Linked DNA regions of Notamacropus eugenii. The protein of the gene in region 1 purifies or fractionates together with the protein of each later gene. This does not show direct contact. Links are inferred from orthologs where the notes say so. Each region holds a gene or a part of one and is shown in the gene's direction. Other genes may lie near its edges.

What was found.
Region 2: the proteins of KPNA2 (region 1) and NUP153 purify together in Homo sapiens (co-immunoprecipitation; 4 studies listed by BioGRID and IntAct, counting the BioPlex papers as one, with this or other methods). This does not show direct contact. The link is inferred for Notamacropus eugenii from reciprocal best matches to the Homo sapiens genes KPNA2 and NUP153.
Region 3: the proteins of KPNA2 (region 1) and KIFC1 purify together in Homo sapiens (co-immunoprecipitation; 4 studies listed by BioGRID and IntAct, with this or other methods). This does not show direct contact. The link is inferred for Notamacropus eugenii from reciprocal best matches to the Homo sapiens genes KPNA2 and KIFC1.
Region 4: the proteins of KPNA2 (region 1) and HECTD1 purify together in Homo sapiens (affinity purification with mass spectrometry; 3 studies listed by BioGRID, with this or other methods). This does not show direct contact. The link is inferred for Notamacropus eugenii from reciprocal best matches to the Homo sapiens genes KPNA2 and HECTD1.

Annotation. Positions count from the first base shown.
Region 1 is NC_092873.1:327,758,464-327,766,026, reverse strand, and holds the start of KPNA2 (importin subunit alpha-1), read left to right. Parts: upstream 1-4,173; 5' UTR 4,174-4,276; coding exon 4,277-4,443; intron 4,444-4,445; exon of another isoform or gene 4,446-4,763; intron 4,764-5,112; exon of another isoform or gene 5,113-5,427; intron 5,428-6,209; coding exon 6,210-6,321; intron 6,322-6,493; coding exon 6,494-6,631; intron 6,632-7,563.
Region 2 is NC_092875.1:190,369,148-190,376,698, reverse strand, and holds the start of NUP153 (nuclear pore complex protein Nup153), read left to right. Parts: upstream 1-4,127; 5' UTR 4,128-4,196; coding exon 4,197-4,307; intron 4,308-7,551. UniProt on the Homo sapiens protein: Component of the nuclear pore complex (NPC), a complex required for the trafficking across the nuclear envelope. Functions as a scaffolding element in the nuclear phase of the NPC essential for normal nucleocytoplasmic transport of proteins and mRNAs.
Region 3 is NC_092873.1:89,398,857-89,406,974, forward strand, and holds the start of KIFC1 (kinesin-like protein KIFC1), read left to right. Parts: upstream 1-4,819; 5' UTR 4,820-4,863; coding exon 4,864-4,908; intron 4,909-6,173; coding exon 6,174-6,308; intron 6,309-6,598; coding exon 6,599-6,698; intron 6,699-6,953; coding exon 6,954-7,007; intron 7,008-7,250; coding exon 7,251-7,307; intron 7,308-7,524; coding exon 7,525-7,925; intron 7,926-8,118. UniProt on the Homo sapiens protein: Minus end-directed microtubule-dependent motor required for bipolar spindle formation. May contribute to movement of early endocytic vesicles. Regulates cilium formation and structure.
Region 4 is NC_092878.1:47,883,698-47,891,227, reverse strand, and holds the start of HECTD1 (E3 ubiquitin-protein ligase HECTD1), read left to right. Parts: upstream 1-4,267; 5' UTR 4,268-4,405; intron 4,406-5,702; 5' UTR 5,703-5,824; coding exon 5,825-5,964; intron 5,965-7,530. UniProt on the Homo sapiens protein: E3 ubiquitin-protein ligase which accepts ubiquitin from an E2 ubiquitin-conjugating enzyme in the form of a thioester and then directly transfers the ubiquitin to targeted substrates.

The DNA of each region.
Region 1 (7,563 bases):
GGGCCTATGGGGCTGTGGACAACAAAAGTAAAATTAGAGAACATGGTAGAAATGGATTTCATTGGTTTTAAATTTGGATTTTTTTTTCAGAAATATTCAGTTACCCCTTAGTTAAGAACAGAAGTCATCTAATTGTCATCTGTGTTGCATTCAAGACTACACATCATATTACCAGAAGAAATGGAGAAAGTGATAGAGGTACATCTTGGGTGGCAGAGTACAGGAAAAATGAAGCAAGGTGTCAAGTATCGGGACAGAGATAACCAAGAACCTTGATCATGGGATTCTTAAGGGAGACAAAATCACCCAGTGGCCTGAGGAGGGGCAGCCAACCAGAGTTCTGAGACCATTGAATCCTACTGGTACTCTGAGAACAGATAAAAGTAGAAGTCAGCAGAAGAAACCAAAGAAAACAGCTAGGACCAAACAGAGCCAGAACATGACATCTAAGTATATGGGAGTTTGCAGAACTTGACCCTTGCACTAAGTCACAATTTAGGAAATAAGACTGGAAAAATGAATAAATACTGATAGAAAATTATGATGGAGCCAGGAGATGTTTAAGATATAAACCCCAAAATGAATAATTCCACATGGTCTACATGCAAAGACTTCAAAGCAAATCAAAGATTTGCCACGTGCTCTTCTGGAATTTCTGAAATAAATGAACCAAGAACTTTCTCTCCAAATCATTTTTACACGGATTTATAATCTATCCTTCTCACTAATGATCACTACCTTTCATTAAACAAACAAAAACCCTAATAATAAGAATTAACAATTCAGCAAAACAAATTCCCACATTGACCATGCCCCCAAAATGTATGTTTTCCTGTGCATTTTAAGTTCATAACCACTCTGTTGTATCCTTTTATCATTAATTGACTGGACTCCAGGTTTATTTTTGCGTCAATTAGAATTCTAAGGTCTTTCAAAGTTGTTTTTCTCTACAATATTTCTGTCATATAAATCATTCTCTTAGGTCTGCCCACTTTGTATTACTTCATAGAGGTCTCCCTAGTTTCCTTGAAATTTTCTTTTATTATTTATTATGGCATAGTAATCTTCTACTACCTTCCTATATCACAGTTTGTTTACCCATTCCCCAACAAGACAGCCCCTAAGTTTCCAATAGGAACCACTACTTTGAAAAGAGCTCCTATAAATATTTTTGTACATATAGGTTCTTTTCCTCTTTGAGGTATTGGCCTAGTAGTGGTATAGCTGGGTCAAGGGGTATACACAGTTAATAACTTTTGGGGCATAGTTCCAAATTGCTTTCTAGAATGGCTGGACTAGTTCACACATCTACGAGCATTAGTATGCCTATTTTTCTGGAAGCCTCCATTTGTCATTTTCCTTTTTTCTCATCTTTGCCAGTCTACTGGGTATGAAGTGAAACCTCAGTTTCTTAAATTAGCATTTCTATAATTTTAGTGATATAGAGCATTTTTTCATATGGTTGTTGGTACCTTGGATTTCTTTCTTTTAAAATTGCCTATTCATCTTTTGACCATTTTTCTTGAGACATGGCTCTTAGTTTTATAGATTTGTATAAATTCCTCATCTAGCTAGGATTTGAGACTTTTATCAGAGAAATATGCTGCAAAGTTTCTTTCTCAATCACATTTCTCTTGTAATTTTAACTATATTAATTTTGTTTGCACCAAAACTGTCCATTTTATCTTGTGTGATCTTTTCTATTGCTTGTTTAGTCATGAACTCTTCCACTCTGCATAGATCTGAAAGGTAATTTCTTTCTTCTCTAATTCATGATTTGACCAAATGTTACATTTAGATCATGTAATCATCATTTGGAGTGTTATCTTGGCATATGGTATGTGGTACTGATCCAAACCTAATTTCCATCATACTGCTATCTAGTTTTGGTTTTTTAATTATTTTTTAGTTTTAACATTCACTTCCATAAGATTTTGAGTTCCCTCCCTTTCCCGCCACCCCAAGATGGTGTGCATTCTGATTATCCCTTCCCCTACTCTGCCCTCCCTTCTAAAACAGCCCCCATCCCCTTCTACTTTATTGTATAGTGCAAGATAGATTTCTATACCCCATTGTCTGTATATTGCTAGCTAGTTTTACTAGCAGTTTTTGTCAAACAGTGATTCTAAAGCAAAAGTTTAAAAATGATCATATAAATAAGAGCTTTAGAGTTAAGAATAGGAAAAGGAATGGGAACTCTAGAGAAAAGAACTTAGTAGAACAGTTTAATACAAGAAGTATAAAATCTTACTCAGTAACAGAATCCTTGAAAATTAGATTTGATCATAGACACCGGTGACTCCATGAGATAACAAATAAATACTAGAATTTAAAATCAAAAGACTGTAAAACTATCCAATATCATCTGCCTCATTTTCCTCAACTATAAAATGGGGATAATAGCACCTACCTTGCACAGTTATCGTGAGCATCAAATGAGATATTTTTAGAGCACTTACAAAGTAGCCCAGCACTTAATAAATGCTTGTTTCTTTGCCCTTCTTTATGCAATAGGTCTAAAATCTTGGGTATAAGTATGCTCCAAAATGGTTTGGCAACAATGATTTGGTAAAAATCCAAATGATTCAATGAAATTTGAAAATAGTTGTGACATTTTCAAGTTTTCAGAGGTGGCAAATGGCAGAGCTTGACTTAAGATCCAAGGCTTTCCCCTTTACTTTTATAACAGCTGTGTGAGAACTTGTGGTCTCTTAGTGGTAATTTCAACACCTTTATTGGTTCAAAAATTAAGAAACAATGAGTTAAAATTGTAATTGAGTTCCACTACAGTCATATTAATAGCATTTGGTTTGGATTTAATTTGTGCTATATAGGCACATTAATGTAGCCAACTCCTGGGTGAGGAAAGGCCGACCAATATAACAAGTTAGAGCCTTAAAGGTACTTAGAGCACTGAGAGGTTTACTTGTCACACAGCCGGTAGGTCTTCCTGGCTTCTAGGCAGGTTCCCTATCCACTATCAAAATTAAGAACTAAGAATTGTTTTGGACTAGATGACCTCTGGAGGCTTTGTACTGAGGTGGGAGAGAGAGAGTAATACCAGGAAAATGCCATAGTGGAGTCACTATCCAGGAGAGGGTGAGTGTTAAATGCCGCAGAGATATTCAAGTCACCTCTCTGTTGGACAACGTCCTAGTTACTGTGGCAATACCTATGACTGTCGGGATTTTCTTTACAATCTCAAATGAAAGATTTTTATTTGAAAGTTAATTGCCTCATTCCGTTTTGGCTTTGGAAGATCAGGCAACAGCACTTTTCAAAGTGTGGTCTTTGAGTCCAAGTTCCTTAAAGAGTCCCTTAAAGTCAAAACTGTTTTCATAATAATACTAATACTACTATACTACTAATAATAATAATACTAAAACATTTATTTGGCTATTAAAATGCCCCTCCCTTTTCCAACTACATATTTATGTAGTATGAACTTCAAACAAATCAATATAATGCAACAATCTGAAGACAAAAGCAGATATGAGAATCCAGCTGTCTTCAATTAAGCCAGACATTAAAGAGATTTGCAACATTATGTAGAACGGCCCGTCTTCTCAGAAAATGTATGGGAAAAGTTATTTTTCATATAAAAAATTCTTAATGTTCACATTTCCAAATGAACTAAACACTTAAAAATTTAATTTCTAATACAATAAATATCCATAAATATTACAGCAAAAAGTTTTGGGGGTCCTTGGGAAATTAAGGTCCTTCAGATCAAAAAGTTAGAGGCCTCCTACAACACAGCATCTATTGTAGCTGCCCCCCAAAAAATACAAATTGAAGATTTTCTAAAACGAAAAAATTCGAAATCTCCTACAATCTAAGAGACGAGACCTCCCTGAAGCAAGCACGTGGAAAACAATCATTTGTCCAAGCTGCCCATAGAAACTATTTTAAAATATTTTTTGCACGTTTAGCACTGGTCCGGGCACACAGCGACAACTTAATCTTTGCCATGGACTTGACGATAAATCGCAGAGCTCCCCAAAATCGAAGAGTGTGCACAGATCTCACTGATTAAGAATGAAGGCCCTCCGCCATCCCAGCACTTGGAGACATTAAAACATCCCTCTACCAAAGCATGGCTGCAAAGACTTCTGGGATGTATACGCAGGTTTTGCTCTCCCCTCATCTCACGAGAACTCTTCCCTTCTCCACTCCCCCGCCCTCTCGCTCGACTACTCCCTCTGCAGGCTCCATCTTGGGACCACCCAGCCTCGTGTTTTTCAAATCCACCAATGGTCGCGTTGCTTGGGCTCGAATGAGCCAATGGGAGCTCCGGACCGCCGGGAAATTTAAATCGCGCCGGAGGGCCTCACGCGCCACACGGCTTTCGGGGCTGAGCTGCGGTGGTTGCTGGAAGTCTAACCGTGACGCAGCTGCGACCTCCTCTCGCTTCCCCTACGGGGCCCGGCGACCTCCTACAACGTGAGTTCTTTTCTCTCGCCCGTCGAGAGCGGAGACTAGGCCGGCCGGAAACGGTTGACTCCGAGGCTGTCGGGAGGGAGGGGTGTGGGAGAATCGCCTGTTGCTCTCCAGGCCTCGTGGGGGAGGGCCTGGTTGGGGCCCTGGGCCTCGGGCCGCGCTCGGGCGCGTCCCCGCGGTGGCAGCGGCAGCGTTCCCGAACCCGGCTCCTCTGGGTCACTCTGCCGAGGGCGGCCGGTGGCAGCGGAGGTCCGAGATCGGCCTCTGTTACTTCAACCGCTCCCCCCGCCTGGGCTGCGGAGTGAGAGTGTGCGAGAGCGCGCGTGCGTGTGTAGCCGAGTTTATTTGGGGAAGGGGGGCACGCTGCAGAGGAGTGGGCTTCCCACGACCCTCGGCCCAAGCGTGACGTGTTCTTTTCCTCGGATCTCCGGGCCTATCTGCTAGATGGGCCGCCGCCCGCCGCCCTCCCCCTCCCCCTCCCCCGACAACCGGGATGCCCAGGCCTTTGTGTCTAGCGGTGTCGCCTCCCCCGAGCTTCTCCGACGACAGCGCTTAGGGCCCAGCTGGTCTCTGGGAGCGGGGTGCGGAGGGAAGGTGGGGGAGGGGAGGGCTCCTGAATATTCTCTTTCTCCCACCCAGCGTCTGGTTTAGGGAAGGGTCGGAAGTACTAACCTTGCGGCCTGCCCAGGGCGTGAAGTCTGTGTTGGTTCCTGAGGTTCAGTGACAACTAAGCCACACCTTGGGCCCGCCACCCTGGGCCCTGACTGTAATCCGTGCTGTATTTAGTGGGCTCTTACTAAATACCGGCCTCGCCCCCAGCTCAGGAAAGGAGCCCCTCACTCTCTTCGTTTTCTCGGCTTCTAATCAATCCCACCTTAAAGAGATTTTTCCTGCCTTCCATCTAAAAAAATGATCTATCATTATCGATGCTGAACAGGCAGCTGGTTGTTGTCGTCTTCCCATTAAGACCTGCACTCCTTGAGGACCGAAATTGTATTTTTGCCTTTTTAATATCCGTAGCACTTAGCGTACTGCCTGGCACATAGTGAGTGCTTAATCAGTAACGTCATGAAGTAATTGATAGATCGCATCTGGAAGGTCTTGATTGTAACTGCTTACACCTTTGTGTTTGCAATTAAGCTGCGAGAGGACCCTTAATGTTAAACCTTAAATATTGTCTTTCTCTAAAGGACATGTCATAGCTAGGTAGGAGCAAATTGATGCTTGCCAACTTTAAATTCTTGAATTGTTTTAAAAATTAAATTTGAAATGTCATTTGTTTGGGGAAACGTCCAAAAATTTACTAAAATTGTACTGTTATGACTACTTAAATGAAATAGAATAATATTTTGGTGTAAGGGACATTTAATGGAGAGACTGGCTAGGGTTTAATTGCTGGCAGCTTATCACTTAGCTGTCAGTTAACAAGCATTTATTAAGAGGTTACTGTGTACCAGGTAGGCATTGAGCTAAGCTGTGCTTAATATAGATTTATTGTGAACTGGAGTACTTCATAGTTTTAATGCATATAGTTTGCTGGCTATGCTGTGGTTCCTATTGAATGGTACATTCTTTGTCTGGTAACCACAAGTAGAAAAATGAAGCAAGCATGTAGAAATATTTATAATATATAATATGATACTTTGGTAGTTGACATATTGCTATGTTAGTGCTGGTTTTTTCCTTTGGTTGAAGTAATAATTACTGTTTAATACAATAAAATCCTGTTGGATTTCTTATAAGGCATCGAAATTTCTTTTTTGTTTCAGTTCCCTCTTTGCTTTTCTCCCAGTGTTGAACACAACCATGTCCACCAATGAAAATGCTAATTCACCAGCTGCCCGGCTTAATAGATTTAAGAACAAAGGAAAAGACAGCACAGTGAGTAGTAGCCTTAATCTTGTTATTTTCTAGATAATTTTTTTGGGTGGAGGAGAAAGGAGAGTTCTTGGATGCTGAAATGAATTTAAAGGCAACCTAAATTTGTCTTAGATAATTCAGAAGATGATTGTGGATAAAAAACCAAAAACACTTTGATTTTATTTTCCTCAAGGAAATGAGGCGCCGGCGTATTGAAGTGAACGTAGAACTGAGGAAAGCTAAAAAAGATGACCAGATGCTGAAAAGAAGAAATGTCAGCACTTTTCCTGATGATGCTACTTCTCCTCTGCAAGAAAACCGAAATAACCAGGTAAATTCTCCGTTTCTTAATTCCAGCAGATTTTGCACATATGATGTTTATTCTTTGGAGTTTGTTTATATAATCTGTAAATCTTCAGAAAAGACTTATACCCTGTATGAATTGGCCTATGATTGTTCCTGAAACCTAGACATTCTTACTTCTTGAAGTAGCAGGCTTGATATGACAGAAAATGGTTTCAGTAACTGGCTGTTGAGGGATAGTGTAATCCTTTTGTCACCCTGTATTAACCTCATCTTTGTTTTTTTAGTTTGTTTTTTTGATAGTCCCTTTCCCAACATCTGTGGGAAAGTGTTTCATCTCTCTACTTTTTGCCCTATTTTCTTTTGGGTAGGGTGGGCAGGAGTTGGGAGATTATAGCCACTTAACTACTCTCTACCTCTAGTAGAATGTTGTCAAACAGATCTGTAAGATACTTTGAAAAATCATATTACTCTAATATTTCCATTGCCCTTCTTGGGGCGGGGTACAAACTTTGGGCATGTAAGATTTTTCAGACCAAAATAATTCTTATTACCTGTCCCGTATCCTGTTTCTTCATGCCATCCATAAATTTTTTAAATGGTGGTCATAATTTCCTCTGAGTTCATGGTAACTGTTCCATATTCTGATGACCCCTGATAATGTATATCTTCTTTTTTGTGCGTGTTTTATTCTGATTAAGACAAGCACCATGGAATAAATTTTAAACAATGCGCTAGAACCAGATGCCTGCAACTGTATAGTATTTGTATTGATGATCACAAAACCCTGGGGGGAAATTACTTAGCAATACTGAGGAAACTAGAAAGTGGTATCTCAAAAAATGGGAACAGACCAACATAATTGTGGAACTTGATTGAAATCTTAGCAAGCTGTGGCTTAAAAGAATACATAGATAACATTGATTATAAATAAACTGTTTGCATAATAAAATAATATAC
Region 2 (7,551 bases), on another chromosome or scaffold:
ATATTTTAACATCCATTTAACTGAGTAACTGAGGAGCTTCCACCTAACCTTCAACTGAAGTGAGTACTCTGTAATGTAATGACATAATAAGGTTCTTTATCTAACGAAGAATCTAGTGAAATTCTATAAATGCCTTTCAACTGATGAATATACTCCATCAAAATCATATGTTTGTGGATTAATATCAGTATTTAGGGTAGAAAGACATTTTCAAGATGAAATAAATAAAATCTGATTATGAATCAGCATTTGCAAGCAATTCTGATGATAGGGAATACTATGAACTCAAATTAAACTAAATGTTATCCCCCTCACCCCCCAAAAAAGGAATTCCGTTCTTCTCATTAGTAGAACCATATTACCAAAAAAAAAAGTTATATTATACATGTCCAAAACAGAACTTATTTTTTTCCCTAAAACCTCCTCCCTCTAACCTTCCCTATTAATGAAGAGGGCAAAATCATCCTCCCAGGCCTTCAGACTCCCAACTTAGATGCCATCCTCAACATCCTTGCCCCACTCCCTACCTCCATATCCAGTCCTTTGCCAAGGCCTGTCAATTTCACCTTTGAACATGTCTCTAATGAGCTCCCTTCTCTCCTCTGACACCATCACCATTCTAGTAAAGGTCCTCATCACCTTGTGCCTGGACTCTTGTAATAGGCTATTGGTGGGTCTGCTTGCCTCAAGTCTTTCCCCACTGCAATCCATTTTTTAACCACCAAAGTGATTTTCCTAAAACACAGGTCCATCCACATCACTGCCCCTCTTCCCCCTGCCCCCACCCCCTCTCCCCTCCAGCAATAATCTTCAATAGTTCCCTATTACTTCCAGGATCAAATACAAAATGCTTTGTTTGGCATTCAAAGCTCTTCATAACCTAGTCCCCTCCTACCTTTCCAGTCTTCTTATACCTTATTCCCCTATATGTACCCTTCCATCCAGTGACACTGGTCTCCTTGCTGTTCCACAAAAAAGAACACATCATCTCTTGGTTCTGGGCATTCTCCCTCTCCTCCATGCCTGGAATGCTCTCCCCTCTCATTTCTACCTCCTGATTTCCCTGACTTTCTTTAATCCCCATCTAAAATCCCATCTTCTTCATAAAGCTTCTCTCAAATCCTCTTAATTCTTGGGCCTTCCCTCTGGGGATCATCCAATATATAGTTTGCTTGAATTTGTTATAGTCCCCATTAGAGGGTGAGTACCCTGAGGGTAGGGACTCTTTTGCCTCTTATCCCTAGGGTTTAGCACTGTGCCTTGCACACAGTAGGAACTTAAATAAGTGTTTACTGACTATTACATTTTGAATTTCATCAAAAGAATCTGTGGAAATTAGTTTTCTCTCTTGTTATACAAGTACCTACATAATATCCTCAATTTTACCTACTAGCCCACAAAGCCCAAAATATTTACTACCTAGCCTTTTATAGGACAAAATTTTCTGACTCCTATAACAGGTTAGAGACAGTCCCTGACATTAAAAAAAAAAAAAAGATAAGAAAAACCTGATAATATCATATCCCTTATACATGGTAGCCTCTTTGGAGGATGCCTTTCTGCTACCACATGAGTAGCTCATTCCCCATCTTAGCTTGCACTATACTAAGGAAGCCTATGGAAGATATTTTGGGGCTGAATCTTCCCAATATCTAAATACTTATATCTTCTCACTAGGAGATGGGGGTAGTTTCTCAAGGCCTGAAGTTCTGAGTTGGAACTTCTAACATTTTCTCATAAATGGTCATATGGTCAGATTCCCAGACCAGTCCACAAAAGGCCATTTAGCTGACTGGATACTATTTAAGTAACACACTTACAATTCCATTTCCTTCCACTGTCATGTGATTTTGATACTAAATAGAAACAGAACATCTGCCTGCAAATCATTAATTATGCCGCATTACACTCAAAGTTAAATAAATGGATTTCACTTTAGTTATAAGTTAAATGGATTTCATCTCCAAAATGAAGATAATTTTCCACAGAAAGCTAGAAGACAGTATTTATCATCAAGGATAATTTTTCATAACACAAATTCTCACTGCTGGGAGTCCCCAACTTGCAAACAAATGGTGTTCCAAAATTTTGTAAATCAGCCGTTTGGTGCTAAGAATTTAGTACCAGATTAGCTCACAAAAACCTATCTGAATCATAATGTTGCAGGTACTATTTCACAGAAAAGTGTTTTCAAAACAATAAGTTGTTTTCCTCCTCTGTCCCACAGATTTTACCTTTCTTTGCCTTTGTCTTCACTAATACTGACAAAGAAAAAGCAAGGGCTTGAAGATATTACCTCTCCCAGGTATTTCTTTTTGTTGCATAACTTTAAGAAATGTTTTTAATGAAGGAAATTCAATGGTTCAGGAGGCAACTTCTGTGATTTTCAAATCACAACGTTTCTTCCTTCCTTAAAAATTTCTTCATCGCTCTACTTACAAAATAATCTTTGTACAACCTCAGTTAAGTTACTTTGCCTTCCGGAAAAATGAGAAAAAATTTTGCTCCTTCAAAAATTGGATTTCTCCTGACATCAGCGAGAAAGGTGAAGATAAAGGCGTGGGAGAGCACTGAGGACAAGCTCTTCGCTTTTCAGTTCTGTCTGGCCTTGGAGGGGCGGTTCCACGCGTGACAGCGAACATCAGTTTCTCTGATGGTAGGGACGCAGATCCTGCTAGGGCTGGCCTGGTCCTGCAGACGAACGGTGAGCCCGGAAGCCTGTCAATGTCAACGTTGGTTACGCTTTAAGACTTAAGCTAAAGCCCCGTAAGGATCGCTCCGGCCGCCGACCCGGAGGGCCGTAAATAAGCTGTCCACTTTTAGGAGACGGTGAAAGTGATCACAGCTGGAAGAGGCCGGGGTCGAAATCTTAAACACACATTTTGTACCTATTTTAACTTTCTGGTCCTTCCCAGTCCTACGCTTCTTATTTTACGCGTTTAAAAACACTGTTCCGAAGAAGGATCTCTAGAGTGCCAAATAGTCCCGAACAACTCTGAACCCCGCCCCCCCAACTCGGATCTCATCCATCCCCTGCACTTCATGAACCAGGCCAAAGGAGGGGAGGTTACCAGACGGAGGTACGTCAGAGGCCGGCAGGGGATGACGGACGCGGGGGCTGCTTCCTTCCAGCGCCCTTTAGGCCCACGCTCAGAAGTGGGGAGGCCCCCGGCGGTAACGTGTCGGGAAAGTCCCCCGGGGGCAAGGAGAGTAAAAGGGAGAGTCTGGGAGGGGGGGAGGACCCCGCTCCCAGTAAAAAGCACGTGCGCGCTTCTGCTGAATCCGAGCCCCATGGAGAACACGCAAGAAGCTGGCGCCTCATTTTGTCCCAACAAACCCGGCCTCCTTCCCTCCCCCACCTCCAAACTCGGCGTTCCTCGGCCGGACTCTATTTCCCGTCAGCCCTACGCGCGGCGCGGGCCGGTTCAACCTTCTTTCCCTTCTCCTCTCGCTCACCCCGCCCCTCGGGTTCGGGCGCGGATCGATGACGCGCCGCACCCGGCGCGAGAGAGTGACGCCACTTTGGCTCGCGACGGCGGCGGTCGCTGCAGCAGCAATAGGAGCAAAAGCGGCAGCGACGGTAGCGACGGCGGCGGCTGAGAAGACTACGACGACGGCGACGGCGGCGGCGGGGCGGGCGCCAGGCGCGGGGGGGAGGGGTGGGCGGGAGGCACAGGCAGCAGCGGCTGAGGCGGCGGAAACAGCGAAAGGATCACCGCCCGGCGGTCGCGTTAGGCCCTAGCGGCGCCGGGAGCTGCGCGAGAGTCGAGAGCCCGCGCGCGCGCCGGCTTCCCCCCGGAGATCTCCATAGAGACCGTGACACGCACAGAGGCGGGTGCCCGCAGGCGGGCGGGCGGGCAGGCGGGCGGGCTGCGGGGCCCGGAGCAGGCGCCGCCGCCCCTTCTCCACCTCCTCCTCCCCTTCTCTTTCTCCTCTTCCTCTTCCCTCCCCCCTCCCTTCTCTTCCTCCCTCCTCCTCCCGCGCGCGCCCTCTCTCTCTCTCCCCCGTCGCCGGCCGGGCCTCGCGCTCCCTCTGGTGCCCGTGCCCCGGCGAGCGGGCCGGGCGGGCTCTTGGGCCGGGGCCGGGGGGTGGGGGGGCCGCTGAGGCCGCCGCCGCCGCCGCCGCCTCTCCCGCCCCTCCCCGCCCTCCCTCCCTCCCTTCCCCGCCCCGGAGCGGGAAGAGGCCGAGACTCCGCCATGGCCTCGGGAGCAGGAGGAGGGGGCGGCGGCGGCAAGATCCGGACGCGGCGCTGCCACCAGGGCCCGACCAAGCCCTACCCGCGGGGACGGCAGCAGCAGCAACAGCAGGTAAGGACGGGCTTCGGGGCGGGCCCGGCCTGGCTGCCGGGCGGCCGCGGCCTAGCTGAGCCCGGGGCTCAGACCCGACCCCCACGTTGGGCGCCCCCAGCCCTTCCCAGCCACCACCCAAACCGCCGGGGCCCCCCTCACCCGGGACCCCCGCACTGCCCCCACCAACGCCATCCCCGCAACATTCCTCCCCCGCTCCCCCTGGGCGCGCAGTGTCCGCCTCCTCTCACACACGTCTACACGTGCCATTGCTACCGTAGCATCCACGCTGCCCAACGCACAGCCCATTGTGCCCCCCCCCACCTCCGTGCGCCCCGCTTCCCGGCGCTCCCACTGTACTCTGCTCTTACCCAATACTGTCCCCCCAATTCCCCCTTTTCTCCAGGACATTTCTGTCTTGTCCAACACACAGTCTCACCATGCCCCCGTTCCCCAGTACAGTTCTGTCTTCCTCCGATACACCCCCCCACCACACAATACACCCCCTACTGTGCCCTCTTCTTCTTCAGGGTACTTGTGGCTTCTTCCATGACACACATCTGGCTTCGCGCACCAGAGGTCCCCCAACTCCTCCCTCCCGCTGTGCGCCCCTCTTCCCCAATACACGTCTGTCTTCCCCAACACACACCACATCTGTGCCCTTATCTTCCACAACACCCCCATCACACACTGTCCCCCAACTGTGTCCCTCAACTTACCCAACACACATCTGTCTTTCCCAAGATACATGCCCCCATACCTTGACTTCACTCAGCATACCCCCAACCAAAACCTATCTATCTTCCCTTACACATCCATCTTCCCTTAAAACACACTTACCTCCCCCTTATACACAAACACATACACCCACACTCAGTCTCATCTTCCATTATACAGGGTACTTAACTGACTCCCTACACATTACATCTCTACCACACACTCATTCCCTCATACACACCTTTCTTCCTTTACACATGCACACCCACATCTTCCACTTCATACATGCCTCTTCCCTTACACACCCACCTACATCTACTTCTACACAAAATGCATATCTTCCCTCACATGTGCACTCGTGCACACACATCCCCATATAACTGGGGCATGTGTGGGGTGGGGACCTCTGGAACCAGAGATGGGGTGAATTCAGCAGGCTAGTGTTGAAATAAATGTATATGTGGTAGGGCTACTGCCAGCCACTCCATCTCCTGATATGTATCTTGGTTTGGGGTATTCTGAGTGAATTAGTTAAAGGTTGTTTGTATTTCCAGACCTTGCTTCCTTTTTTTGGGGTAGAGGGAAGAGGGGTGTATGGGAGGGGTTGGATATTAGGGTAAAATCGGAAATTATCTCGGGTTCATTATGTCTTGTCAAGACTCCTAGAATAGAAAGGGAAGTAGAGGAAAAGACTGAATAAATTTGGTGCAATGGCTCACTTTCTACCCCCACATCTCTTGGGAGTGATGATTTTGTTTCATGTATTTGTTTTATTTGTACTTCAGTCCCCATTCTTTTAAAAGTCTAATTTAGATCTCATAAGAACCCAGGTCCACGTGGATCACCTTCTGGGGAAAGAGTTATAGTGACACTGGCAGTGGGTGCATTTTGAAAATCCCTCTTTTTATATGTGTCCTATATGGGTTGGCCTTTCCTCTGCCTTTACTTGTTTTGGAGTTTGGAATTGGTAGTTATCCAGAGGTGATCAAGACATGTGGTTTTGATTTCTGGTATACAGATTTTCATTTTGATGAGGATATTTAAAAGCTTGGGTTCTTTGCCATTTGTGGGGGAGAGTGACAAATAATATAGCCATTTTATATATATATATATATATATATATATATATATATACATATATATATATATATATATACACACATGTACATATATATATATAGTTGGCAGTTATTGGACAACCTTTGTAAAAGAAAATAATAGGGTAACTAAGCTATCTTAGAAATCACAGCTAGTTGATCCATAAAAAGTTACCAAGATAAATTCTTTTTTTTTTTGCTTGAAAGGAAGTTAATTAAGTTGGTTTAGTAAGTAATTTGCTATTTAATATACTAGTGAGTTGATTACATGAAATTTTAAATGACTCATGGTATCAGTACCTACTGTTGAAGTGATCAGAGTAATAATCAGATTATTATTCCAGATAATAAAAATAATTGGTATTTATATATTGCTTTAACATTTTCAAAGAAATACACATTTCACACATTCACACAAATGTATGTGATGTTATTTACTTTAGTTTCTTCATGACAGCTCTGACGGGATAGTACTAGAAGGTGGTGGAATAGATTTTACCCATTTTACAGAGGAGGAAACAAATTCAGAGGTTGTGACTTGCTGAACTCTAAGTCCTGTACTATCTATATACTATCCTACGTCTCAAATGATTTGGAATGCTAAGCTTATGTTTTATAACATTTCTTATGATTGAAAAACCTACAGATTATTTTCCTAAACACAGGTTTATAGAAACCAGGAATTTGGGGATATTACCAATTAGAAAGTTTATTTCTAATTATTATTGCTTCTTTCTAATTAAAGATTCACAGGTCTATGGAATTCCTCTTACCTCTAGTTTTTTCCCCTTAGGCATTTGCAGAAAATGCCTGATTGCCAAATATCTTGGAAGACCAGTGTGCTTTGTCAGGGAGTCTGAATTTTAATCCCCACTCAGAGGCCTCTAACTCACAGTTTGAGCATAGATAAATCTCTGAAATTGAGCCTTAGCCTCCTGTTCTATATACTAGGGAGAGGAATACTTAGATTGTGTTTTGATCAGAAGAAGGACTTGTGTGGATAAAATAAAACTGTGGTACTGAGAAAGATGTTACATAGGTGAACAAAATAATTATTCATTAATCTGTGTTAGTATTGATCAGACTATTTTAGGGAAGTAATGACACTACTGTGCTGTCAATCTTAAACAGAAACAGAGACCATTAATCTGTTCATAAGGAACCCTGAGGGTCACATCCTCACTTAGAAAACCAAATGTGTTTATAGGGGTTGGTTTTTTTTTTTTTCAATTAAAACATCAACATAACAAAATCAAATAGGAATTAAATTTTAATTTGAGTATTGTGGGCCTTGGGTTTGACATATCTGCTGTACAACACCAAAGGCAGATTTTTTCTTGGCAAATTTTGTCTTAAAATCACCAAAGCTAAACACATTTATGATATCTCAGAATAGTTAAGTAAAACAGTACAAAGATGTGATTTTATAATGTCATTGTTCACTTTTGTTA
Region 3 (8,118 bases), about 240 Mb from region 1:
CTTAGCTGCTTACCAGTCTCATCTGGCACACAAACCTTCTTTCAAAAACTAAGCCCCAAAGTAAAACCACCCCTCAGAGTCTTTACACACTTTTTAGAGCCAGAGAGTATCAAAACCCTAGAGAACCAGTGCCTCATTAGAAAATTAACAAAAGGTGTGGGTCTCCCCTAATCAAGCTTCCCTTAATGGGTAGGCCCATTAAGGGGTGGGGCAGCTCTTTAATCTCATTAAGAAGCAAAATTATATTAACAATAAGCAAAAATGCATTCTCAATACAGAAAGGAAGTCAGGAAACATGGACTTTAGTATTGTTTATTCAACTAAGAGAGGTAACTAAAACATCTGAGATGAGCATGACCATGGCAGTACAGAGGACAGTTTGACTGGGGACAGGGTAGACTTGAGCTGAGATTCAAAGGCAGTTAGACCCTTGTCCCAAAGAATCAGGGTGGAAGTTGTGACTTGAGTAGGGGGCTGGGAGTGGGCCAGGGCTGTGAAGGGATAAGCCAGTAGATGAATGACTACATGACATTTTCAGACTCAGTTATCCCGGAAAGCCAGGAGCGTACTGGAGCCAGCTCATAGTGGTGGATGGGGACAGCCTATTGTTAAACTCTCAGGATGAGCATTTGAACCCCAGAAATCAGCAAAGTCTACAAATTAGGATTTGATTTGTTTTATTGATTGTCTAGACTTATGAAAGTGATGAAGTAAATGTTAATAATGCACATTAAACTTGAATGTGTATTTTTTCCCCAGCACATGAGTACCCTGAGAAAAAGCACCACTGTACCCAGCGGTAGCCCTCCAGCCACTAACTGGCTGCGACAGTTGGGCAAATTCAGTAATTAGTCATTAAATACCTACTCTCTGTGGGTCTTGGCTTTCTTCCTAAAAGGCAGCAGCTAGGTGGCGGGGGCCTGGGCCTGGAGTCAGGATGGCCCCCTTACCGCCCGTGTGACCCTGCCTCAGTTTCCTCATCTGTACAATGGGGGTGATGACGGTCGCCCCTGCCTCCCGGGGTGCTGTGAGGATAAAAATGAGGTGACTGCAAAGCCCTTAGCCCCGTGTTAACGACGATGAGGATGAAGAGGAAGGGCGGTGACGCGCTGCCCACGCCCAGACGGAGGCAGATCGCCGCGGGACGGGGCGTTCTCCCGCTGTTTTCCCTTCGGTCCGCTCTCTTCTTTCACAGCCTGCCTAAAGCGGCATACAGAAAACACGTTTAACACGGCTGCACACGGATAACCCACGTCTGCTGGCTTGCCGGAAGAGGAGGAGGGAAGGAGAAGGGCAGGGGGAGGGAGAAAAATCCGGAACTCAGAATCTTGTTTTAAAAATGAATGTTGGGGGAAAAAAAGGAAATGAAAGGCTCGGGGTGAGACAACTACCGGAAGGGCTCTAACAGCCTAGGAGCCAGTGACGTCACCACGCCCACCCGTCACCGACGCTAACGCGTTGGTTTTAGAGAGATCCCGTTAGGGCCGCGCCTAGAGACCCTACCTCCCGGTTCTGATGGGGCGGAGGTCAAGTTCTGCCTCCCCGGCCTATGACCTTGGGCAAGTCACTCCCCTCTCGGCACCCGTAGGCAGCCCTCTGACGACGGGGGGCACACGATACGCGTCAGTACCAGGCGCTCCCCGTGCTTGGGAAACCTAGATCGGCTTAACTCGGACCTTAGAGCTAATGCTTTTCATTGTTTCCACTCAGAGGAGCGCGCGGTCATGCCCCGCCCCACGAGGCGGGGTGGGATGGGTGGGCCACCTTTATAGGGCCGACACTTTACTCCCGTCACCGGCCGGCCAGCCGACCCTTCTTAGGTCTGCGCATGCGCTTGGTAGCCCGCGGATGCCGGCAGTGGGGGAGGGAGAAGTCGGAGCAGCTAGAGGGAGAGAGAATGAGGAGGGGCGGTTCCTAACGGAAAATAGAAGGGCCCTCTACCCAGCGCCCCGGGAAAGCCGAGGGGGCGTGTTCTCCACCGAGGCGGGGCGGGGAGAGATGGCCGGAGAGACGTTGCGATTGGTTCAGGGGTAGAGGAGGGATCTGTGATTGGCCACAAGCTGCTGGTGGGGTTTGGTTGGCTGGAGAGTCGCGGATTTGAATTTAAAAGGGTTAGGTGGCGCCGACGCCTGCGGATTGTGCGGGAGGCTGGGATGTTTGGAGATATAATTGGGGGTCCTAGAATGTGTATTGTTGGGTGGTAGGAGGGGGAATCCTCCTCGCCCCGCCCCCTCTCCCCTACGGCACCTTCCCTTCTCCCGCCTTGGGTCTTGACGGAACCGGAATAGGAGCAGCTGGTGAGTGAATGGGCCCGCGACTCGCGACTCCCGGGCTCGGGACTGGGGGGGAGGCTTGTCCACGGGGGCTCGTGGGAGCCCTCGCCGTAGGCCTGCCCTGGCCAGGGACCGGCCAAATCCCCATCCCCTTCTTCTCCCCTCCTCCCCCGCCGGCCAGGCCCCAGGTGTCTCAGGCGGGTCTCTGCAGAAATTGCCTCCCCCGTGACGTGTGTGTGAGGGTGCACACGTACTCTCGCTCGGGGTCCTTGGTAGTGAGGGAAGATCGGCCTTTTCCTGTCCCCTAACATTCCACTTGTCCTTTGGGAGAAGAGCTGAAACTGGAATCGGAGGAATGACTTTTGTTTTTAATTTAAAAAGGGGCTGGAGGGTATGCCCGGGTGCCGGCTTGCAGCAGGCGCTTAATAAATGCTTGTTGACTTCCCTTGTGGATCCGGGGCTTGCTTTTCTGCCGACGGCCAGTGAGCCAGTATGACGTCAGGCCAGTGACTTACCCTCTGGGACTCCCTGTTGTCTTCTGTTGAAGCAATTGAACTAGGTGGCCTCTAGGATCCTTTCCAGTTCTAGGTCAAAGGTTCTCCTTTGTGGTCTTTAAGAGGGCACCTCACCTGACAAACTGGATCCCATATGTAGAATTGGAAGTGACCTCAGAATTTCTCTAGGCTCTCATTTTATGAATGAGAAAATAGTGGTTAAGTGACTTGCCTGAGGTCTTACAAGCGACAAATATCCGGGTGAGGACATGAACCCAGGTATTCTGGCTCCTAATGTAGAGCTAGCTCCCTTCCCTCTGATTTAGAATGGGGGAGAGGGGCTGTTAACATATGAGCATATATATGATACTAGCACAAATTTCCCTTTTACCAGACCAAAGTGTCCTAAGTACAATACAGCTCGGTTTCAGCCCATGGGATTAATTTATGTTGTAGAGAAGATGAGGTGGTACGATTGAAACACAGGTGTCCGTTGGAGAGATCCCTAATATTGTCCATAGTCTGTTTTAACTGTGACAGCATATTTCATTGTTGGACAGCTTCAGTTGTTCCCTATTTAAACTGTATTCTGCCTCATAATTTTTGCAGAGAATTTTTTTCTCTAATCTACTTTTCATATATTTGAAAACTATCATATCTCCCCACTTTCTTTTCTTCAGGTAAACTACATCAAACTACTTCAACTGGAACTCGTATAATATGGTTTCTAGACTTCTAAAAATCTTGTTCTCATCCTAGCTTTCAATCATATCCTTAGCAAGCAACAAATACTGTTTGGAAGAGACCCTCTGAAATGTAAAGGAGAAAGACTCCATGCAGGGTTTCTTAAAGATCCTTTTTCAACTTAAGATAATGGGAATTGTGGGGTCACTGTGTCCTGAATTTCTAGCTGGAAGAATAACTCTAACTCCTTTATAACGGTATCATTTCTAATGCAGACTTTATCATCTACAAAGTACTTTATATATACATGCAAAATAAACCTGTTACTATTCACTTTGAATGTGAGCTGTATTGAAACCTTCATTGAGCACACTGCTGTGGACTGAAGCAAGCTGGGTGGTTTGGAGAAACCATTTATATATGGATTACCAAATTGTTTCAGTTATACTTTGCCCAAAGAATGAGAAGTTGATTATGTTAATATTTTTGAGAAGGTCTTAATCTTTCTTTTCATTGTTCTGAGGTAATAGGGTGATGTATTCATCTTGCCCTGTGACCTTTTTCCCAACCAATAGTCCTTTTTCTATGAGGACTGAATCCAGAAAGGGACCTTGGAGGAAGAAAGCCAATCAAATGAGATACGTGTAAATCAATTAGCACCATGTCTCAGTGTATAGTAGGAGCTTAATGAATATGCCTGTTTCCCTCCCCTTCTCCATTCCTACTGTTAACAACCCTAGGTCTAGCCCATTCATTTTATACCCAGATTATTATACTTGGTTCCTAACAGTCTTCACTCCCTCTAATCCATGATACTGTTAACAACCTCCCTAGCATATTCTTTGGTAAGTATTGGCCTCTACTCAAAAACCTCTAGTAGATTCCCTTTGTCTGTGGAATAAAACCCCAAACTCTTCAACCTTATATTCAATGCCTTCCTTATGATCTGGATCCTACCTGCCTAGGCATTTTAGCAGCCTGCCAGTTCAATGGCATTTACTATGTAATACTGCAGGAGAAAAAGACTAATGTGAATTTAGACTGCATCAATATATGTACAACATTAAGAACAAGTGAATTAATTGGAAGGGATCTCAGAGGCCATATTGTCCAATCCATACCTAAACAGGAATTGTTACTATCAAGCCCTTGCTCCAAGAACCATAATGATGGGAAATCTACCACCCAAGGCAGCCTATTTTAGTTAAAATTGTTAGTAAGTTTTGTCTTATGTGTGTGTTCGTCCTTCATTGCCGAAGAAGACCATGCCATCAGAGAAATGATGACATGACTTGCACTTGACTTTGTTTTGAGTGAGGGAGGGCTGTGCAGATCACCAGCCTCACTTCTCCTCCAGAGCCATCTGAATCCAGTGACCAGATATTCATCAGGATGACTCGAGATGACCCAGGATGAGGCAGTTGGGGTTAAGTGACTTGCCCAAAGTCACACAGCTAGTGAGTGTCAAGTGTCTGAGGTGAGATTTGAACTCAGGTCCTCCTGACTCCTGCACTGGTGCTCTAACTGCACCACCTAGCTACTCCAAGTTTTGTCTTATATCAAGCATGAATCTCCCTTTGCACTTTTAAGCATTACTTCCACATATATATTCTGCCTTATGTTTGGAGTTTTGTGTCTAGTTAGGAGTGCTACATTTAGGGGCATTGACAAATTCAAGTTTGCCCAGAATGGGGCAACCAGGATGGTGAAAATATTGGAGGCCATTCCATGTAATGATTAGTTGAAAGAAACAGGAATGTATAACCTGAAGAGGAAAAGACTTTGGGGTAGACATGAGAGCTGACTTAATTTAATAACCCCTTATTGCTTTGTGAAGGACTATTACACAGAAGAGGAATTACTCTTTTTTTTTTTAAACACCAGAGGACAGAAATAAGTGGTAGGTAAACATTATAAAAGAAAGTTCATTTTGGCTTAGTGTAAGGAAAAACTTTCCTAACCCTTAAAACATTAAAAAAAAAAACCCCCAAAAAAACCCCAAAAACAGGCTGCCCAAGGAGGTAGTTTTTCATCATCCATCCCATCACTTGAAATGGTTGAGTGGAGGACCACTTGCTAAGGATGTTGTAGAGGGAATTCCTGTTCATGTATTAGATTGGCCTATGTGATCTCGAGTATTTTCCAACTCTGGAGATTCTGCTTTTATCATACTTTGACTATCTCATTTAAAGCTATTACCCTGTATCTCAGCTCTAAACAACCTGGTTTACTCATTTCTTCTGTATAATGGTTTGGTTTTTTTTTTTTTTACTTCCTACATTTGCCCCTTACCTGGAATGCCCTCCAAGGCCCAACCCAAGTCCTATTTCCTTCATTAGGCCTTTCTTAAGCACCCTTAAGTTTGATAATTCTTCTGAACTCTTATAGCACTTCTTGTCTATACTATTCATTTAATATAGGATGAGAAGGTATGTGTTATGATATCTAGAGAGAACAGAATATAAAGAAGGAAAGAATACCAGAATATACATTAATATATCTGTCCCAATTCCTTAAGTAAATCATAAGCTCTTGAAAAACTGATTCTCATAACTTTTATGTGCAGGTTACCCAGTACGTTGTTCTGTGTGTGTAGTAAGCTTTCAATAGATATTTGCTTCTGATAACAAAAGGGAGGTAGTTAATAGAAATGTGAGGCGGTCAGGAAATGTGGGAGTGGCAGGGAAACCAGGAGGTCTGAGTGGCTTCCTTTTTCTTATAGAAGTTATCACTGATGGAAAAGGGGAACATGGAATTGAAGATGCCCCCGGACAAGGCCTCATCTTCTCAATTGCCTATGCTAGGCCGTGGTACAAAGAGAAGACTAGATAAAGAGAATGCCCCTGAGCCGGAGAAGGTGAGTTGGACTGTAGATATGTGAGAGCCTGGGCAGGGAGAAGAGAGAACTGGATTAGTTGAGAAGGGTGGGGAGCCCCAAGGGGGGTGGGTGGGAAAAAGTTCTCTAAAACTATCCTTTATATATATATTTATTTTTTCCACAGTTAAAGACAATATTCAACATTCTTTTCTTTTTTTAATTTTGAGTTCCAAGTTTTCTCTCTCTCTCCCACCTCCACCTTTCTGAGATGGTACAGTAAACAATTTGATATAGGTTGTACATGAAAACTTTACTTTCTCTTTCCTCAGAAGCGGATTCGAGGTCCTGGAACAGCAGTAACTATTGCCATCTCTCGTCCCAGGGTCTCCACTGTGGCCACTATGCCCAGGGCAAAAAAACAGGAAGCAGGTAAATAAAATACCTGTAGGTTTGACAGATGACAAAAGAATCCAGAGTTTCATCTTTCCTATTTCATGTAATTACATGACCAGAGTAATTCTGTCTTAGGTTATACGTGCAATAGGAGATGAACATGTCTGAGAGGAACGGGTATATTATCTCTTCAGAATAAGAGGTCAGCCCTAGGCTGGCTCTTATATTCTTTCCTGCATAGAAACTGCCCTGAGGATGCTCCCTATCACCTTCTTCCTTATCTCCTCGCAGCCCAGAAGGCTCCCCTAAAAACAGGACCTTGGCATACTACAACGGCCACCACAGGTGAGTAGGCATCAGTAGCTAGATCTCAGGGAAACAAGCACAAGTTGGAAAGGGAAGAATGATGGAGGGATTTGGCTGCCTGTGAATCTGAGCTTGATCTCAGCTCTGCAGCTTATGTCTTAGGTGAACTTTGGCAAGGTAAACCTCTGGACCATAGTTTGCTCTGTAAAATGAAAGAGTCGGTCACTATCAGCTCCAAATTAATTGATGTTATTGAAATTATTATCTCTTATCTTTGTACAGATGTGAAGAATAGGAAGCCAGTCTCTGCAGTCTCTACTGTCTCTGCACCAAAACCTGGTAAGTGGCTAATCTAATCCCTCAGGTTAGGCAATGTACCACTTACAGAGGGAATAGCAGTTGTACTGAGTGCTCTACAAAAACCATTAGCCCATTTCTGTCTCCCCTGTGAGATAAAAAGGAGGGAATGGGAGTTAATGGTGTTTGTTGCTCACTGAAAGGAGAAGAGAAAGGAGCTAGAGTTTTCATTCGCCTTGCTACTCTTTCCCATACCTAGTATCAAGAATGTCCCCTACAAAAACAAGGAAAGGATCTAGCAAGCGTCCAGCCTGGGATGTGAAGGGACAACTGTGTGACTTACGGAAGGAGTTCAGTGCCTGCCAGGTACAGACTGAGGTTCTAACCAGGGAGAACCAGGAACTCAGGAGCCAGTTTGGGCAAGCTGATCAACAAGCCAAAACTCTGGAGGCTGAGAACAAGGTGTTGATTGGGGATCTGACGGAGACTCGGGCCCAAGCTAAGCAAGACCAGCTGGAGCTGGGGAAGTTGAGGGCTCAGGTCCAGGAGCTGGAAGCACTTCTGCATACTCAGAAGGGCCTAGTTCAGTCATTGCAAGAAGAGCGGTTACAGTTGCAAGAAGAACGAAGGGATCTGGCTGCTCGGCTAGAGGTACAGGAGGTGAGTAACGCTTGGGTGGACAAAGCATCGTCCTGTGTGCGTTCACATGGAATTCTTGCTGAGCCTCCGCTGGGGGATGTTTGACCTTCTCCCTTTTACTTGTGTCTTGGAGTGTGTCCTCCCTTCTCAGAGTTTTCATCTGAGCTGAAGGCCCCTTCCCTCACTTTTGAGCTGTGTCTTTCAAGGAATTTCC
Region 4 (7,530 bases), on another chromosome or scaffold:
AAAATGTATTTAATAGGAATGTATGTGTAGAACTTCTATAAAATTGTATGCTGTCTTGGGGAAGGAGGGAGGAGGTGGAGGAAAGGAGGGAGGGGAAGAAAAAATCTAGGTTGTATGGTAGTGATTGTGGAACACTGAAAATAAATAAAATTTATAAAATAAAAGAAAATGTAAGTTTGGTATTTCCATGTAATGGCAGTGAGACTTATCTGAACTTGTATTTTCACCTAGAAAGGTGCTTTGTATACAGCCAGTACTCAAATGTTTGCCACTGAATTTACCAAGGAGGTGAAAGTTATCCTTCCCTTCTCTTTAGTTCTTTCCCTTCCCCCACAGAAAGTTGCCGGTAGTAAATTACACTTTTGAGAAGATACACTTTGACAGGTGCTTTGGTGATTGGAGCTTTCTCAGCTGATGCTCACCTTGCTGAACAGCACTCCCTTCTCCCCACACCAATTTTAAGGCTGCTTTACTGTGAGGTGTCCCAGGATGACTAAGACTTTTTTCCCCTACTGGATCTGTTTTTGAGATCACTTTATTCTAGAACTTTTAGAGTTAACATCCATGCATGGATATTTCCTCTTAATCTCTTCCATTATTATAGATCCATACAAGTATGTATGCTATTTAGTTCACCAGTCCGAAAGTGAAACATGTCACTGTCTTTATTATGTAAAGTTTACTGGAAAACTTATAAAGGGTCTTTCTCATGTAATGCTGGGCATCCTAGAGGAAAAATCAAAATGTATTTATTGATTAGCCCAGGGAGTATTACCTGAGCTTGAGGGGTCTAATATAGAGTCCTGACTCCAGGTCAGTGCCAGTATTAATGTAAATCATGTATGAAAAACTGTTTCTGACTGTTTGGATAGAACGGTACATTTCATTTCAATAGTGGTGTTTAGTCATTTTCCCCAGATGGTTAATATATAAACTTGCTTTGGCTATTTAGACAAGAGCTTAAATGAATGATTCCAGAGGGCCAAAAGAGCATCACCAGTTTACAGACTACAATTTTCAGTAAAACTTCCAGCATTTATGCAATGGTTCTATAAACTTCCTGTCCTCATTTTCTTTCTTTTTCCTATTAAATGGCACCATCATTCTCTTACATTCAACCCTGAAATAAGTAATTTTTGATTTCTGGCTGCTTCACCCTCTATATTCAATTCTCCTTTCTACCACCTGCCACCCAATCTCCCATCGTCTTATTGCAGTATTCTTTTCAACAGATGATTAGGTGGTGTCTCAATTGTTTCTTTATCTCGTCCCTCTCTATTTAAGATCCTAAAGCTTTGTCCTATTACCTCTTCAAGTTTGAACACTTCAGTTTGGCTTTTAAGCCCCTTTTTAATCTAGTTTCTCTCTTACCTTACATCGTGGGATTCTCTAAGACAAATCAGGCTGGTCTTCATACTATAAGCCCAACATCCAGGGGTGTGCTGGAGCTAGTTATAACTGGAAAAGCCCATTGTTAAATTTTGAGTGTGAGCATTTCCACCTCAGAATCAGCAATTGCTACACATCAGGGCTTGACTGATTGTTTTATTGATTACCTAGACTTAAGAAAGTGTTAATAATGCAGATTAAACTTAAAAGTGTGTGTATATATATACACACACATACATACACACATGTGTGTGTACTGTATGTATATATGTGTATGCATGTATGTATATGCACGTATATGCATATGTCTCACTCTCGTCCTTGGTTAAACATTAACCAGCACACATGTGTATAGCCCTACAAACATCTCTTGAACTCAGCAGGACTGGAAGCCTGGTAACTGTAGGTTCAGGAAAATAACAATAATTAGCATTTACATAGCTCTTTAAGATTTGCAAAGTGTCTTCCATCCATTGTCTTACCTGAACTTCACAACCTCCCTGCTACATCCCATGATAACTTCCATTTTCATGTCTTTCCTCAAGTTTTTCCCATTGTCTATTCAAATCCCAGCCCATCCTACAAGGTCTGCCTCTTTCATGAAGCCTTTTCTGATAATGCTGGTGGATTCTGATCTCCTTCTAATGAGAATCCACTTGTATTCTGGTTGTTTCCAGCAAGTGTAATGCTTGTCACTTGGTCTCCTGGCGCCCTTCTAATTAGACAAGGAAATGTTCTATCTTATTTGGAAAAGTTACCTGTGTAGCTGTGTTCTAAATGAGGGTCTGTGACTGCTCATTTAAAAATAATTAAACAGGCGCAGATCGTAGCAGAGAGCAGATAGATTAGTGCTTTTAAACTCAATGGACATTTATGAGTACCAACTATGTGTAAGGACCTGTGACAGGTGCTAGGCTCACAAAGAAAAAAATGAAATCATCTTACCTGAGCAGCCTCTCACTTGGAATCCCAGTTCAGCCACACAGGGGTCAATTTCCTCATTGTACAAAATGAATGGGGTGGATTAGGTGACTTCTGAAGTCCCTTATAGAGCTAAGATCCCATAGGATTAATTGGGATAACATTTTATTCCCCCATTTTAAATTAAACTTTAAATTAAAGGAAGGCATAGTTACACATTCTGGATCATAGCCCCCTCAAGTACATGAAATTCCTTTTGAGTAGGTGACTGGTCTTCATGAGAATAAAGTAAAAGGTTTCTGAAAAAAGTAATTCACCTCTGAGTCTCATAGTTGGGACATGGGTCTCCTTCCTCCCTTAGGAGGGAGAGGAAAAGTGCTTGCTCACTCACAGAGCACTACAGATCCAGTCTGGTGAGATTTCTGGTCTTGACTTGGCACCTTGTGTGTGTGTACATGGGCACAAAGAGGAAAAGTTGAGGAGCTTATCTTTAACCTTTTCCCTCTGCCACTGAGAAAAACGGGTTCTGACGAATCATTGTGCCAGCCACAAAAGACACTTTTTGGAAGGAAAATACACTGAAAAACCCCGTGGAGAGAACTGAGAAGGGAAAGGGAGAAGGCTAGGAAAAGGGAAGTAGCAGAGAAACCTTACAAAAAATTATTCCCAAACTTAAAAAAAACAACAAATGGGCTTGTCCATATGTGTGTACATGCATTTATATTATGTATATGTAGCTATGCACATATATGCTTATATATAGCTATACACACACATATAGCTATACACATATACACACATACACATATATACTATATATAGCTATACACGTATACACACACACACATATATACTACACACATATAACGCAGACACGTAGGATTCTGCACGAAGCTGGTCCTCAGGCCAAGCCCCCTTTTTAAGAAGTAACCAGCAACCTTGTATCCGCAGCTGGCCACGCCTACTAGTCAGTTTCTTTCTTAAAGCCTATTTCATTTCCACGCCCCATCAAAGGGGCGTTCCCACACGCGCAGCGCACGTGGCCCCGGCCCCCCCACCCCGCAGCTTCGTGGTCGAGGCTGTCACGCACCCCCTGGTAGCCCGGCAGGCCCACCTGCTCGTCTGCGCTTTTTGGGTAGAAAGCCCCCACTGCAATCCCGGGTGATTTCGGGCCCGTCCTGCGTGGAGACTGCGGGGCCTGGATCTGGGCCGGATGGGCGCTCCCGGGGCACACAAAGTCGTGTTTCTTTTCACGTCCCCAGGATCATTAATGCGCACACCTGTCACGTGGCAGGCGCTTCATGAATGGTGATTGATTGTTTGAACGGTTGTCACCTTTCCTTTTCACTGCAATAACCGCCTGCCGTGCCCCTGCCCCTGGCACCTCCCCCTCCCCCCCCACATGTTTCTTTCATGGCACAAGAGGACCTGGGCACAGCCGTGCGCAGAGTAGGAGGTTCGGGGACGACTGTGGCCGGATCCACCCCCAAGGAAACCTGGAGAGACCGGGGCACCTGCGAGAGCAGGGACAATTGCACGCGGGCGGGGACGGCCAACGCAGGACGGCGTCGCGGGCCGGTTGGCTCGGTGGTTGGCGGAGCGGGCAGCGTGCGGGCGGGAGCGAGTCTCCGCAGCGCCCCAGGTGGCCGCCTGTGGGAGTCGCCGCCGCCCGGGTGATTCAGAAGCGGCTCCGCCTCCGCTGGGCTCGGCGAGTCCGGCTGTCGCTCGCTCGGTGGTTTCCTGGCCCCGGTGTCGCTCCCTCCTCCTCCCTCCCTTCTCCTCGGCCCCCTCCCGGAGCACGATGGACGCGGGCCCCCCCCGCCGCCGTCGCCGCCGCCGCCCCAGCGCGGGCCTCTGAGCAGCGGGGCCCGAGGAGCCGCGTGTCCGCGGGGGGACGGACCCTGCCGGGGCTGCCGCCGCCTGGGGCTGGTGCGCGCTCGGCCGCTCGCTTCCGCTGTCACCGAGCCCCCTCCGGAGGAAGAGAAGCACGAAGGGCGGGGCTTTTCCTGCGGCGCCTGCCCGGCTCGACCCGCGCGGCCTACGGCTTCCCGCGAACTCGAGGACCGCAGCCGGGCCTGGCTCCGCCCGCGGCCTGGTACGGGGCGGACGGGAGTGGGAGCCCAGGCTGGGACTGGGGGAGGCCTGCGGCGGCGGAGATGGGCCGGTCGGCCCGGAGCGGGGCGGCTCTCGCTCTGTGGGGTGGGCGGGGAAGCTGAGCTCGGGGATCAGGTGCCCTAGCCCGGGCCCCGGGGAGGCAGCCCCCGCCACGATTCTTTGTTTCCCCCTTGCCCAGGACCCAGGAGGCGACCCGGAGCCGGCTGCCCTCTCTCTCGGCCCCTGGCTCCGGGGAAGCCCGCTTGCCCTTGAGAAGAGGCTCATCCCCTGGTCCCCTGAGAGACCGCGACCCTCGGGTCCTGGGGGGGCCCCCTCCCCCAGCCCTTCCTCCGCCTCGTCCCCCCTTTTTTGTTTTGCGGTAGGTGGGAGGCTTCTCCATTTTCTCTCCCGAAGTTATTCCCTCTCATTTCGGAGGACTTGGGACTAAACTTAAAAGTAGGGAGACACACCTAGAGACAGAGAGGAGAGGCTGTGGAGGGGGTGGGATGGAGAGAGAGGGAGACTGAGGCAGGCGGGGGGTTGGGAGGTGGGGAGCCTCTGTGTGCTGTCCGGCTGAGGCTGGCTTCTGGCTCGGGGGTGCACCGGGGCACATGTTGTCGGTTTCCTGCTCCCCCTCCCCCCGCGGCCCCCCGTTAGCCTACGTGGGACTGGAGAAATCTTCCCGTCGTGTCAGTTACAGAAACATCTGTAATTGACATGCTTTGCTGCCCTGTCCCGGAGCTTTATCTGCGGCGTGCCCCTGCCCCGAGAAGCCTGGCTTACCTATGCCAAGGCTTAACCTGTGTCTATCCAGCTTGGACTTCTCTTGTACTTTTGTAACTCCTGAAAACTTCCCCTGAATCCTCATTCAGGTCTTTATAGTCTGGCTTGATGGAACCCCTTTGGAATAGGTGCTTTTAAACTTAAACACCAACTTAAATAATTTTCTGAAATGTGAGGGAATTAGGAGATATTGAATCTGATGATCTTTTGCAGATCCTTTTGTAAAAAAAAAGAAAAAAAATTGGAATGTGCCAGTGGAAAAAAGGAAAGTTGTTTTGCCTTTTTGGCTTGGAATTCTTGGTAATAGCAATTGTTGGATCTGAAGCTTGTTTTACTGTCTTTGATAAAAGAAGCTTTCTGGTTAGGCAGCCACTTAATCTGCTTATGTTCAATGGCACAACTGGTTTGAATTTAGTGTAGTAAGGAATACTGAGTGGGAATGAAGAGGAAGACTGAATATTAAAGAACTGAATCATTTATTGTATTTTACTGATGAATCTTTTTTTAATTCCTAGGAGAAGACGTCAAAAATTTGATTGTAGCTGATGTGTTTTTGATGCTCACTGATCTGGCTTGGGCATTTTAAGGACCTTTTTTCCTTTACTTTTTAATTTAAGCAAAGAGGCTTTTAAAAACCATGGCAGATGTGGACCCTGATACATTGCTGGAATGGCTACAGATGGGGCAGGGAGATGAAAGGGACATGCAACTAATAGCCCTTGAACAGCTATGTATGCTGCTTTTGATGTCTGACAACGTGGATCGGTGTTTTGAAACGTAAGTAAAACCCTTCATCATCTTCCACTGGGGTTTCTGTAATGACATCTGTTTTCAAGCATGTCCTGACTTCAGGTTTTTAGAAATTTGCCTTCGGTTTTTTAAAATAAATTCTTTCCTACCATTTGAAAGTACCTCCAGGATTGTGGAGATGCATTTTTTTCTGAGCAACTGATAATCAATCATTCGGTGAAAGAATAACAGTGGTAATAATTGTGATTACATAATGACTCAATAGGAAATGATCATTTTTTTAGTTTGATTCATTTCCAGAATATGCCAAACATCAAAGAGAAGAATATAAATATTTCTTTTTATATGGCTATTTCTTGCCATAAAGTTGATCAAAAATTTTGAGCTTTTGTCCTTTTGTGGAGTCAAAACAAAAAGAAGGCTTTTAGCTTTCAGTTTGGAGCGTAAACATTGGATAGATGACATCTACCAGAGGTTTAGTTTTTGAAATGGTAATGACAGATTGGAAATGAAACAAAGTCTTCAACTTGTACTGGTATTCTAGCTTTTTTATCTAGGATATGAATTTGTGCCCAAACTTTGAAAATAAAACTGTATTAGAAATTGTGTTAAATGTATGGTTCCTGGTAACCTGATTGCTCTTGTGTTGAATTTTTGAATGAATTTACTTTAAGAATGTCATTCTTACTGGTTTATTGCTCAGAAGAGAGAGATTTGGAACTATTTGAATTTGACAGTTTCTTTATATTAGTTTCAAGTAAGGAGTGGAAAATAGGAAGATGTTGACTTAGATTTAACGTGCGTTTAAATTTACGTATTGCTGTGGGAATAAAGGTAGTATTATACATGTGATAAAGGTGTTTTGTTTGTCTTGATCTTTTGTTAGTTTGAGAAATACCATTGACAATGCCATTATTATGAAAAACTTTGTAAACCTGAGAAGGTTGCCAAATCTCTTCGGTGACTCATTCGTTTAAAGCTGTATTTAATAGGACAATCTCCTAGTACCACAAAAATAAGATACTTCCTTGGAGTTAATTGTATTTGGCTCATCTTAAAGTGATGATTTTGCATATATTTTTTGCTGAAAAGTGAGGTATTTTTCTTGTGACTTTAAGTATTTGACATTTTTTGCATGTGAAATGTTTGGCAGGCCCCAGAAGATCATTTTACCAGTATTGGAAACGTGCGTTATCATGGATTCTAGTAGTAGCATTGCATTGATTTTATGAGTACATTCTCCATTTCATGAAAAATGATGTTGATAGCCTTAAAACCTAGGGACAGGTTATTTAGAAAAATCTGGAATAGATGGGACCAGAGAACCCAGAACCAATAGCTTTATTTTATGTAGTATAATAGATTTCAAACTTTCATATAATATCAAAGATAGATGTCATCTAACTAAATTTTGTGAACTGCTACTTTTTAAAAATCTAAATTTTGACAGTGAATGTTTATTTACTATTAAAATAGTTCTCTGGTACCTTGTCATTTTCCTCCCTAGTCATTTCTGTATAAATAAATGATCCTTGCTTTTCAAAATTTGAAATTAAATTCAACAGACATTAAACACCTGCTGTTTACAAGGCA